3 linked regions of the Mus musculus genome follow. The protein of the gene in region 3 interacts with the protein of the main gene of each other region in a pairwise test. Links are inferred from orthologs where the notes say so. Each region holds a gene or a part of one and is shown on either strand. Other genes may lie near its edges.

Region 1 (3,710 bases), on a different chromosome or scaffold from region 3:
CTTTGCATGGGGTTTACACTCACACCTGCAAAGGCTTTGAGTTTGAGACTTGCTTGGTCTACATAGGGTGTTTTGGGACAGCAAGGGCTAGAGAGAGACCATGTCTCAAAGACTATAAACAGGCAAATAACTTTTTTTTTTTTTTGAGTGAGTCTCGTGTAATTCAGGAACTGAGTCTGGCCTCTATCTTGCTATGTAGTCAAGGATGCCCTTGAACTGATATTCCTGCTTCCACTTTCCCAAGCGTTCAGTTGAGGGGCTTGCTGTACCATGCCCATCTTAGGTTTTCTACAGATCCTCTCACTGATTCTGGACTTCTGCAATAAGGCCCACTGTAGTTTTAAAAACCTACTCTAGTAACGGACAATGAGCTGTGAAGCCTTAGTCTCTAAGCTGAGGTGATGATGATCACCTAAATGAAGTCACTGACTGAATCACAAACAACAAAGATCTGGGCCAGCAAACAGAGGCTCCACTCTCCTCCTAGTTCCTGACTCAAATCTGAAGATAGTTCTATCTGTGCTGGCTGTTTCATAGATAAACGTCCTTCACATATGTCCAAAGAATCAGGGAAATAAAGAGCCAGACAGTTAACCAAACGAAATTACATTCCAAGAACAGTCAGGTCAGAAAGGTCAAACTAAAATATCCAAGTAGGATGTAGGCCCCAAGAGGAGGATGGTCACATCAAAGTCTATCTCTAAAGCTGCACAACATATAAACCTCCAAGTTCAGAACATAAACCTGCTTCCCAATCAATAAAATGAGAATAGCAAACATCAAACTCACAGTGACTCTGAATTATAAACGATAATCTATAAAAGGTGGCCATATGCCTGTGGTAATGAAAGTTCAAAGACACTCTGAAACTTGAGCAAGACGTCTTGCCCTAAGAGCCTCTCTCTTTTCTGGTAAATACATGAGACTGGGTGCAGAGAGAAAGCAACGAAGCTCATAGCCTAGGATAAGTGTGGGACCCGCTGAGAGACAAGTGTTTGGAACCTGACACTAGTTATTTCTATGCTCCGGTTTCAGACCCTTCATTTGTTCTTTTAGGTCTCCATTCCTTCCCATCTGAAGTAGCTCTGTCATGGATAAGACTTAAGATTCACCCAGAAGAAAATAGGACTGGAGTGAAGCACTGCCTGTCTCTAAGCCACAGAGCCAGTTAGAGGATCCTTCTCATTTACCCACCTTGAAGTCAGTGCTTGGACGGGGAGAACCATTTTTCCAATGGCAAGGTCCTGCTGGGAGAACCGGCATCACGTCCATCCCCAGTCCCCGTTCTCTCCTCCCCATCCTGACTCCACTCTGCCGCCCCTGTGTTACTCACCTTGTACTCCTGCACTACCTCCTCCAATGGCACCACACTATGCTGTTTGTGGCTCCTGGATTCGCGGCACACCACACAGATGGCTTCTTCATCCACCTCACAGAACAGCTTCAGGGCTTCTTGATGTCTCGGACAGATGCCTTGTTCATTCACACGGCTCCCTCGCCCAGGAGTTGGGTGCATCTGACGGATCACCTGGACCATGTTGGCCAACTGCAGGTTGGGGCGGAAGCTCCGCCGAGGAAAACTTTTTCGACACTGGGGACAAGTGAAGCATCTCCGAGGGGCTGGAGGTGGCGGCAGTTGGGTGATCGGGTCTAGCTCCTCTTCCTCGTCTTCCTCCAGCACTTCCTCCTCCTCGTCCTCATCTTCCCCTCTCAGGTCCGCCACATCCCCCAAGTAATAGTCCAGTTCTTCCTCCTCCTCCTCCTCCTCCTCCTCCCACACATAGTCCATGTTGTCCCAGTTAGACCCACCTATACCACTACTCCAGAACACTTCCTCTTCCTCCTCGGCCTCCTCCTCCATGTCACCCTCATAATCTTCTTCCCGCATAGGGGTGTCCCAGCCCCCGCCAGCCCCGACAGCCTCCACTTCTTCCTCCTCTCCGACCTCCTCCTCCTCCTCCTCCCGATCCAACTCATCTCTGTCTTCCTCATCCTCCCCGCCCCACAACTGGGTTACACACACTCGGCAGAAGTTGTGCCCGCAGCCGATGGACACCGGGTCCGTGAAGTAATCGAGGCAGATGGCACACACCGCCTCCTCCTGAAGGGTCTGCACAGGGTTGGGTGTCATGGCAACGGCAGCCATCTTAGTGTCCAGTCAGCCAGGGTAGAAGTGCGGTGGGGGGAGCGGGGGGTGGGGCGGGGGGGTCTCCCTTTCCCGAAGCCCCGTCCCCACCCCGAGCCCAACCTCTCCGCACCTTGCCTGCGGCAAGGCCAAAGGAATGTCCTCCGACCAGCCCACCCCGCCACGCACAGTCCCCTACCCCCAGACGACCACCGTGTCTCACAGAGGGGAGGGGACAGAGGGGAGCCCCACCGACAAGCCGCTCAGGTGGACCTGAGTGCAAATCTGCCCCAACGCTCCCCTGGCCTGCTCATAAACCCCCGCCCCTCCTCACTTCCTGGCCCCGCCCCCCGGCTTCCGGCCTCCCTCCCAACGCTTCCGGCGTCTCCGCACTACCTGAACTCACGAGTTCCCGGCGAGGCACCGCCCCCTTCTCCCACGCCCCGCCCCAGGCTGCAGAGCGACCGGAAACGAGAAGGAGACGCTCTAGCTGACACTCGGGAACAGGACGGGAGGGCTAGGACGGCGGAGGCCCACGTCTCGGTGATGACTGGCCGCGAAGAACGCGTACGGAGCGGAAGGCGCCCCCATGCCCTGCCAGCGGGAACGGACAGCGGAGGGTGGCGAGGACGTTGAGCAGCGCCCTGTTCTCCGTGCTCCAACCGCAGCGGCCTAGCGCCATCCTACCGACCAGGCACGGACGATTGCAGAAGGGACTCCCAGGACCAGTGCCGGAAGCTGAGGGGCGGGCCCGCTCAGCGTCCTCATATTTCCGGCCCCTCTAGACCCGAAACTTGTTCGTTCGTTTGCGAGTCCGGGGGTCCCTCCGAGCGGGATTCTGGGCGGAGCCTGACGAAACCGGCTGGGACTGGAGCGAAAGGCTCCGCCCTCCCGCTGGACTGGGCGTTTTCTCGCCGGCTTTAGGAACTGCCACTTTGCTGGCGGACCACAGCGCTCCTGCAAGCCCAGCACTGTAGAGGCAGAGGCCGCGGAACTGTGGCAAGTTCCATGTTTATCAAACCTGGACTACAAAGTGAGACCCTGTCCCAGAAAACAACCACCAACCAGTCAAAGCAAGCCAGCAAAACAAAACCAAATCCTGCCAACCGGTCACTTGTCCCATCATTTATTATTAATATCCACATCCATATTAAATGCAACAGTGTTCAACTATATGACAGAGAATCTTTGGAATGAATTAAGTTTAAAAAGTGAAGGTGGCTGAACACTGGAGTATATATAGGAGGGCAAGCAACGTTAAGTGTATTCGGTACTCTGAATGGCTATATAAAGTATATAGTAATATAACGTAAATCATATAAAACAAATCAGAGTTGTTGCCTCACAGGATTTTGTGAGGATGTCGTCATGTAAAACGGTCAGAACGGTTTCTAGTATCTGGTAAAGAGGTTAAGGGCTAGCTACTCTACCATATTCTCGTCTATAGAAGAAAACAGAATTTCTCTAGGAAGGCTGGCCGGCCAGTAAAGACACTTTTCCGAAAACATAGTCCTTTGGGTTTTGAGACAAGTCTGTGTGTTCTCATTAAATAAACATATTTTTCAAGTGCTATGGGTTTACTCAA
Region 2 (3,747 bases), on a different chromosome or scaffold from region 3:
ACAACCGATGGTGGTCAGGAGGGAAGAAACCAGAACTGAAACTGGGTCCTAAGGCTCGGACTTTCCCACCCTGTTAGACTGGCAAGAAGGAGTGGTAACTGGTTCAGGAACCCTTGCCAGCCTCAGGAAATCCTGGAAGTCTGCTGTTGGTTAATACCCTGCACAGATCACTCAGTGGTGCTCACAGAGATCCACCAGGCTGGGGCTTTCTCATCTACAGCGTGCTCTCCCCAGCCCCCAAGTGACCGAGCCACATGAACTAAGGACTAAATCAAGATATGCACAGGGTATTAAACATATACCAAGGGAGCAGTTAACTTGAATACAAGGTCAAAAATCAGCAACAAGTTCTACGATCCAGTGCTGATATCAGATACAAGCTTCAAGGACAAATTTCTTTTCAAAGGCTTATTCCAGTTTCATGAGGCTAGCATGAGGTGTGTACATTTGCCAGGGCAAATTGATACTTCAATATCAGCTCATGCAGCAGATGCCTGGCACCTGCTCAGTCCATCTAGAAGCATTTGCGGTGGACGATGGAGGGGCCTGACTCATCATACTCCTGCTTGCTGATCCACATCTGCTGGAAGGTGGACAGTGAGGCCAGAATGGAGCCACCGATCCAGACTGAGTACTTGCGCTCAGGGGGAGCAATGATCTGTGGAGGAAAAACACTGAATGAGCACTCATGCCCTTCCTGTGGGTCCCACTTCCCAGCCACAGGTCCTAAGGCCAGCTCAGGCCGGGTGGTAGCCACTCACCTTAATCTTCATCGTGCTAGGTGCTAGGGCTGTGATCTCCTTCTGCATCCTGTCAGCAATGCCTGGGTACATGGTGGTACCACCAGACAGCACTGTATTGGCATACAGGTCTTTGCGGATATCCACATCACACTTCATGATGGAGTTGAAAGTGGTCTCATGGATACCACAGGACTCCATGCCTAGGGAACAGAGCTCATTTAGCCACTACATTCTGTGTGTTCCATCCCTTCTGAGAGCCCCTTGGCTCCTAAATCATGTTGTGGACACCTACCCAGGAAGGAAGGCTGGAAGAGTGCCTCCGGACACCGGAACCGCTCATTGCCAATGGTGATCACCTGCCCGTCGGGCAGCTCGTAACTCTTCTCCAAGGAGGAAGATGATGCAGCAGTAGCCATTTCTTGCTCAAAATCCAGGGCAACATAGCACAGCTTCTCCTTTATGTCACGAACAATTTCCCTCTCAGCAGTGGTGGTAAAGCTGTAGCCCCGTTCAGTCAGGATCTTCATGAGGTAGTCTGTCAGGTCCCGGCCAGCCAGGTCCAGACGCAAGATGGCGTGGGGAAGGGCGTAGCCCTCATAGATGGGCACTGTGTGTGTGACCCCGTCACCAGAGTCCATGACAATGCCAGTGGTGCGCCCAGATGCATACAAGGACAGCACCGCCTGAATGGCCACGTACATGGCTGGGGTATTGAAGGTTTCAAACATTATCTGTGGAAAGACAAAGAACACCTGAGTGAGTGAGTAGCAGGGGCCCTGAGCCTCCCACACCCACACTCTGCATGCTGCATGCCACAAATGTGATGTGTGAAGAAAAAAAGAACAGAACGCAAGCAGAAACGCAAACAGAAACCTGGAGGCTTCAGGGAGGAAATGCCAGGAGAAGAGGAACAGAACCCTAGAAACACCAAAGAAACGCTTGAATGTCAGGAAATGAGGCACAACACAAAATGACTCGTCACGCCCAAGGGGAGGCAAGGTCCCGGCTCAAGCATACCTGCGTCATCTTCTCTCTGTTAGCTTTGGGGTTCAGGGGGGCCTCGGTCAGAAGCACCGGGTGCTCCTCAGGAGCCACACGCAGCTCATTGTAGAAGGTGTGGTGCCAGATCTTCTCCATGTCGTCCCAGTTAGTGACAATGCCGTGTTCGATAGGGTACTTCAGGGTCAGGATACCCCTCTTGCTCTGGGCCTCGTCACCCACGTATGAGTCTTTCTGGCCCATGCCCACCATGACGCCCTGCGAGAGAAAAGGCCGCGGTCAGACTCGCCCCACCCACCGCGCGACCCGGGCCCAGAGAGAACACAAGGGAGGCCACTCCTCTCAACTAACCTGGTGTCGGGGGCGCCCTACGATGGAAGGGAACACGGCCCTGGGGGCGTCGTCGCCAGCAAAGCCGGCTTTGCACATGCCGGAGCCATTGTCAATGACGAGTGCGGCGATTTCTTCTTCCATTGCGATCTGCGCAGGAAGAAGCCCCGGAATTAGCGCAGCCCTCACCGAACTCAGAAAATGTCCTCGGCCAGGGCCGAGCCACCCCGGAGGAGTGCAGTCCCCACCCCGGGCGGCGTAACCGTCGGCTACCGGCAGCGCCCCGTTCCGCCGCGGCGAGGAGGGGCTGCGCATTGCGTCGGGCCCCGCCCTGCCCCCAGCCGCGGCTGCAGACCCAGGCCCACCCGTCAGGCGCCCTGCGCTCCGCTCCGCTCCGCAGCGGTGCGGCAGGCAGGGTGAGCGGGAAGAAAGGGCCACAGGAAGTCACTGGGCCAAGCCCGGGGAGCGGCAGCTTACCGGCGAAGGACGCGGCGGCGACGGAGGAGCGGCAAGAAGCGCAGTGTAAGCCGGCGGCGGAGTGTGAGACCGACCGCGGCCTCCCCCGCCGCTATTTAAGCGGGAGCGGGCCGCGCGCGCGGGCGGGGGCGCGCGCGGCCCCAGAACATGTCCATATATGGCGATCTTTCCAAAAGCCGGGCGCCTATTGGCCCGCCCGCCAGGGACACGTGGGGCCCGGGCCCGCCCGCCCCTGGCCCGCGCCGCCGCCAACGGCCCCGCCCGCGCCGCCCCCGCGCGCTCGCGACCCCGGGAGGCCCGGTTCTTGCTCGCGGGGGTCTCGGCGAGTGGCGTGCGTGCGATCGGCCCTGCCCTGCCCCGGGACTGCCGCGTAGCAGGGAGGGCCCGGGCTGCGCCCCGAAACTGCCAAGCCCGGGGCGGGCCGCGCCCCGATCTGGGGTGAGTCCCGTGGCCCCCGCCCCTATGTGAATCCTGTGCCCCGCACACCCCCCAGGACCTTTCTCTACAGGGTCCGTGTGTGCCTGGCTGGGGACGGGCTGGAGGGATTCCCGGGGGTCCGGGGAGCGGCCATCACATCCCAGTCACGTGGGAGAGGGTCACCAGTTCTTCCACTTCAGCCATGTCCCTTTATTGGAGGAGGGGTCGTCACGGGGTTGGGTGTCCCTGGGCATCAAAGAAGGTGGTGGTGGTGGTGTGAGTGGGCATTGTGTTATGCTGGCTTTGCGGGACACATTGTAGGGAAACTGAGGCAGGGGAAGTCTCCCGACTTTCAGGATGGTCCAGCCCCGCCCCCCGCGTGGGTCAGCTGGCGAGACTCCTCTCCACTGATTATGAAGTCCGGGTCAAACTGGTTTTGGGCACAGAATGCTTAGGCCTTAGTCCCCTCCGGACAGGCGTGGGGGGCGGGCCGGCCTCGCTGCCCTTCTCCCGGCTGTTTGGAAACTTGTCACCCTTAGCAGGGTCGTGGCGCTGCCGTCCTAGATGGTGCCTGAAGAGAAAGCTGGCACGGGAGTTAACCGGGTTTTATTTGTAAGCTTCTGGAATGGTTCATTGTGGAATGAAGCGGAGGGTAGCAGTGAGGTGAGGGACTCCAAGGTCACAGGGCACAGAGCTTGATTCGAGCAGGTACGGGGTGCCACTCCCACCCTATGCACAGGCGCTCTCAGGCAGCCCTGCAAGGTCAGCTCCCCATCTGAGA
Region 3 (3,747 bases):
ATGAGCGCCCCACGTGGATACGGAGCCATATTGCTTATGCTTTCTTTGTGAGATCACGTGCTGTAGCCACTTCCTGGTTTCTGGGCTGAGATCAAGAGTGAGACTGGCATGATCAATAATTTGCTTCTGCCCTGCCCAAAGTAGCCAGTAATTTTTGCACATTATGTATTAATCAATGCCATCCTTCATATTAACATAAGTACAGTATTAAGTCAAGTGTGGTGGCACATACCTTTAATTCCAGTGATTGGGAGACAGAGGATAGTGGCTCTCTGCAAGTTCAAGGCCAGCCTAGTTCACATAGCTAGTCCAGGTCAGCCAGAACTACAAAGACGCTGTTACAAAACAAACAAACACAAACCCAAAACAACAACAACAAAAACCTCTCTTGGGGGCTGGTGAGATGGCTCAGTGGGTAAGAGCACCCAACTGCTCTTCCGAAGGTCAGGAGTTCAAATCCCAGCAACCACATGGTGGCTCACAACCATCTGTAACGAGATCTGACTGGAGTGTCTGAGGACAGCTACAGTGTACTTACATATAATAAATAAATAAATAAATCTTAAAAAAAAAACTCTCTCTTTTTTTTTTTTTTAGCCTCCATGAGTACCAGGGCATGTGATACACAGATATACTCTCAGGTAAAAGACCCATACACATAAAATAATAATAATAATTAAGTTTAAAAAATAAAATCTAATAACAGTGTGGTTTTAAATCTCAGTTAAAATGAACATGTCTCCTCTTTTCTGTTGTTTGTTTGTTTGCTTGCTTTTAAGATTTTTTTTTTTTTTTTGAGACAGGGTCTGAATAGATCAACAGTTCCTTCTGCCGCAGTCTCCTGAATGCTTCGATTCCAGGTGTGTGCCACCCCGGCATCTGTTTGGTTTTGCTCCAGCAGCTGGTGGTGGGAATTTTCAAATGGCCTATGTTTACTTTATTTATTCTGCTACTGTGCTGCTAGTTCCTTGGGATTGACGCATTCCCTCCCGAAGGGGCTAAGACTGGGGACGCTAAAGAGACTGACAGGGCACTGAAAGCTAAACACATCTACTGATGTTTAAGACGCCCCAGGAAGCTCAGAAACCTGTAAGTTTCATAAGATCCGTCTCCAAAGTTACAGGAGAGAAGCAATTGTGAGGAGGGGGCTCCTCACGAGTTGGGGTGGGCTTTCCAGGGGTTCCGTTGTTTCAGAAGCAACTATACTCTTGTAACTGACCTCAGTAAAGTCACTAATCTACCGAGCTAGACGTGGGTGGAATCCTTTACTTGGCCGGTCACAGATGCCCTCTCTCGGGTGAACGGTTAGTTGTTCTCATCCATTGTACAGGACTATTCTCCCAGCCAAACTGCTGCAAGTTTGGCTTGAGCCTGTTTGCCAAAGATCGCCAATGCTGGGCTTGTTGGTGGTAGACTTTCATAGAAGGACTGGACCAGAACACTCTGATTATCCAGCCACCCCTCTTTGCCCTAATTGTACCCTTGGGTCTCTAGGAAGGACTAGAGGATATAGGTAGGGAAGGATTAGGGGAGGGAGTTCTTTATTTATTTTTTTTTTCTTTAGTTTTTCGAGACAGGGTTCCTCTGTGTAGCCTTGGCTGTCCTGGAACTCACTTTGTAGACCAGGTTGGCCTCTAACTCAGAAGTGCTGCCTCCCGAGTGCTGGGATTAAAGGCGTGCGCCACCACGCTCGGCTGGGGAAGGGGTTCTTAACTGCCACGGGGAGTCATGATCTTTGCTGGGGAGGGCTGATTCCAATGTGGCAGTTCTAAAGTCACTCATGCTCCTGTCCCCGCCCTCCCCTCCCCCAACCTGCCCCCAGCGCACCACCCTGTTCTGAAAGTAAGCCTAAATCCATTGCATTGGTCCCCTGCAGAGTGAACAGGGCTGGAACTGTACCTAGGTTTGTCCTTTAGACTGTAAGGTCTCACCTGAGAAAAGGGTTTTAGCAAGGTCTCACCAGTGAAAATTATACAGTATCTGTCACAATCCTGTCCACCACTTCTGCAATGTATGGGTGACTCCTCCTGAGGCTAATATAGAATTATACTCTATTCGCCGGTGATATGGAGTGAACAGGGTAAATGAATATCATTTTTTCAAGAAGACAGATCTCATTTATAATAGTAATGTGCTAAGTGCATTGCACAGGAGGGCACTGCAGGTGGTGTAAATGAAACTTCAGCTTTTCAGAAAATACTATCCAGTAGGCCTCCTCTGACAGGGAGAGTTGACACTCAAGGCACTAAACTCTGCTTTTCTACGAGTCAGCTAACTATAGCTTTTGGCATCACAGAGACGCTGGGGTTGCAAGCCGGCAGTAAGGTTGCAGGAAGGGGTTCAAGCAGACACTTGCTGCATCAACCTCACCTTTGTAAGTTCCTGATTCGCCAGAACCAAACGTGGGCCTCGCAGTGAGGTCAACAGCTGACAGAAGGAAGGCCGGAGCCAGCTGCTCATTGGCCCGCCCTTCCAGCTGAGACAAGCCCCCTCCTAGACCCGCCACACCCCACTGTCCGGGCGGTGTTACCTGATGGCATTGACCGGTGGATTGCAGAGGCGGATCATAGCCAGGGAGTGGGGCAGCCTCAGATACTCAGCCATTTTCTCAAGGTATCCTGCGCCTCTGATGTCTGGGGCAGCCCGGGGCTCCTTTTCTGGGCCGCCCTGAGAGGAGGGGCGTGCTCTGAGCCAATGGGAGCCGCTGCTACCGCCTCCTGCCCCTTGCACTTCGTGCTCCCTGGGGCGGGCTGCGCTCCAAGGAGCGCGATCTTCCTATGCTTCCAAAGGGAATGTCCACAGGCAAGCCAAACTGCTGGGTCACACCACCAACGTCAATCACATGTTCACAAAACAGCCATTTACCAGGGCACGAAGCCCCGGCCTTCTCTAGTTCTGTCCCTCCTAAAGGCTGGGATTTTTCACAGTTCATCCAGGAACTGCACACATATTATGGGCTGGACGTAGGCTGCAGCCTGACAATAAACCATGCCTTGTCTCTTCCCTCTAAAACAGCCTGGGGCACGGTCCTTCCAGCTGCGCATGGCTCCTCTTGGTTGCCAAAGTCCACCAAGTGGACAGAAGACAGTGTGCAGGTTGACAAGTAAAACCGTACTTGTAAATCTTCACTGATGTTTCACAAGTTTTAACAATGTCTAAATATTATTTCTAGGAATGTTACTTCTAGGTATGGTGTCTAGGAGAAATCAGTCCCAGCATCCTAGGAACCTGAGCAGGTAGAGTTCAAGGTTTAATAGCACTGAGTGGCCTTATTACACCCCACCCCCTTGGAGCAAGGATCGATAATAAGCCCTCTTTGGAGTCATCTCAAGACACTTTATAATCTCCATCTGTAGGACTCGGTCACTGGCCATTAGGTTTGCACTTTTATTTTAATTGAGCACGGAACTTTCTGTGGTGTCTCCCACAGTGGGTTCTTGGTGAAGGCTTTAATATAAATCCATTAAATGGCTTGGATGTTTACAGTTGGCACCTCGGTGGGAGCAGAACCAGCGAAAGGCAAGTAAGGCATTTAGGGAACAAAGTTCAAAGGGCAGTTCCAATCAGGTTCTGCCAGTGCTCCTCAACAGCAAAGCCTCCTATCACTTAGTCCCTCTGTAAGTGGCAGAGGAATAGGGATACAGCTAGGTGGCAGCACAGTGGGTTCTCTTTTCCTAATGGTACAGAATTGTCTACAAGCATGGGTTCCAAAGTTGCTGAGTTCATGGATGCCAATTAAGCAGGTTC

The links.
Region 1: the proteins of Ehhadh (region 3) and Trim41 interact in binary tests that used the Homo sapiens proteins (3 or more experiments, as listed by UniProt). The two-hybrid records come from large-scale screens. The link is inferred for Mus musculus from reciprocal best matches to the Homo sapiens genes EHHADH and TRIM41.
Region 2: the proteins of Ehhadh (region 3) and Actg1 interact in binary tests that used the Homo sapiens proteins (3 or more experiments, as listed by UniProt). The two-hybrid records come from large-scale screens. The link is inferred for Mus musculus from reciprocal best matches to the Homo sapiens genes EHHADH and ACTG1.

What each region holds. Positions count from the first base shown.
Region 1 is NC_000077.6:48,814,510-48,818,219, forward strand, and holds the start of Trim41 (E3 ubiquitin-protein ligase TRIM41), read right to left. Parts: upstream 2,883-3,710; 5' UTR 2,147-2,882; coding exon 1,334-2,146; intron 1,320-1,333; exon of another isoform or gene 1,300-1,319; coding exon of another isoform or gene 1,195-1,299; intron 1-1,194.
Region 2 is NC_000077.6:120,345,876-120,349,622, forward strand, and holds the start of Actg1 (actin, cytoplasmic 2), read right to left. Parts: upstream 2,621-3,747; 5' UTR 2,550-2,620; intron 2,223-2,549; 5' UTR 2,217-2,222; coding exon 2,094-2,216; intron 2,001-2,093; coding exon 1,761-2,000; intron 1,662-1,760; exon of another isoform or gene 1,617-1,661; intron 1,539-1,616; exon of another isoform or gene 1,475-1,538; coding exon 1,036-1,474; intron 944-1,035; coding exon 762-943; intron 659-761; coding exon 515-658; 3' UTR 1-514. UniProt on the Homo sapiens protein: Actins are highly conserved proteins that are involved in various types of cell motility and are ubiquitously expressed in all eukaryotic cells.
Region 3 is NC_000082.6:21,785,177-21,788,923, forward strand, and holds the start of Ehhadh (peroxisomal bifunctional enzyme), read right to left. Parts: upstream 2,659-3,747; 5' UTR 2,605-2,658; coding exon 2,531-2,604; intron 1-2,530. UniProt on the Homo sapiens protein: Peroxisomal trifunctional enzyme possessing 2-enoyl-CoA hydratase, 3-hydroxyacyl-CoA dehydrogenase, and delta 3, delta 2-enoyl-CoA isomerase activities. Catalyzes two of the four reactions of the long chain fatty acids peroxisomal beta-oxidation pathway.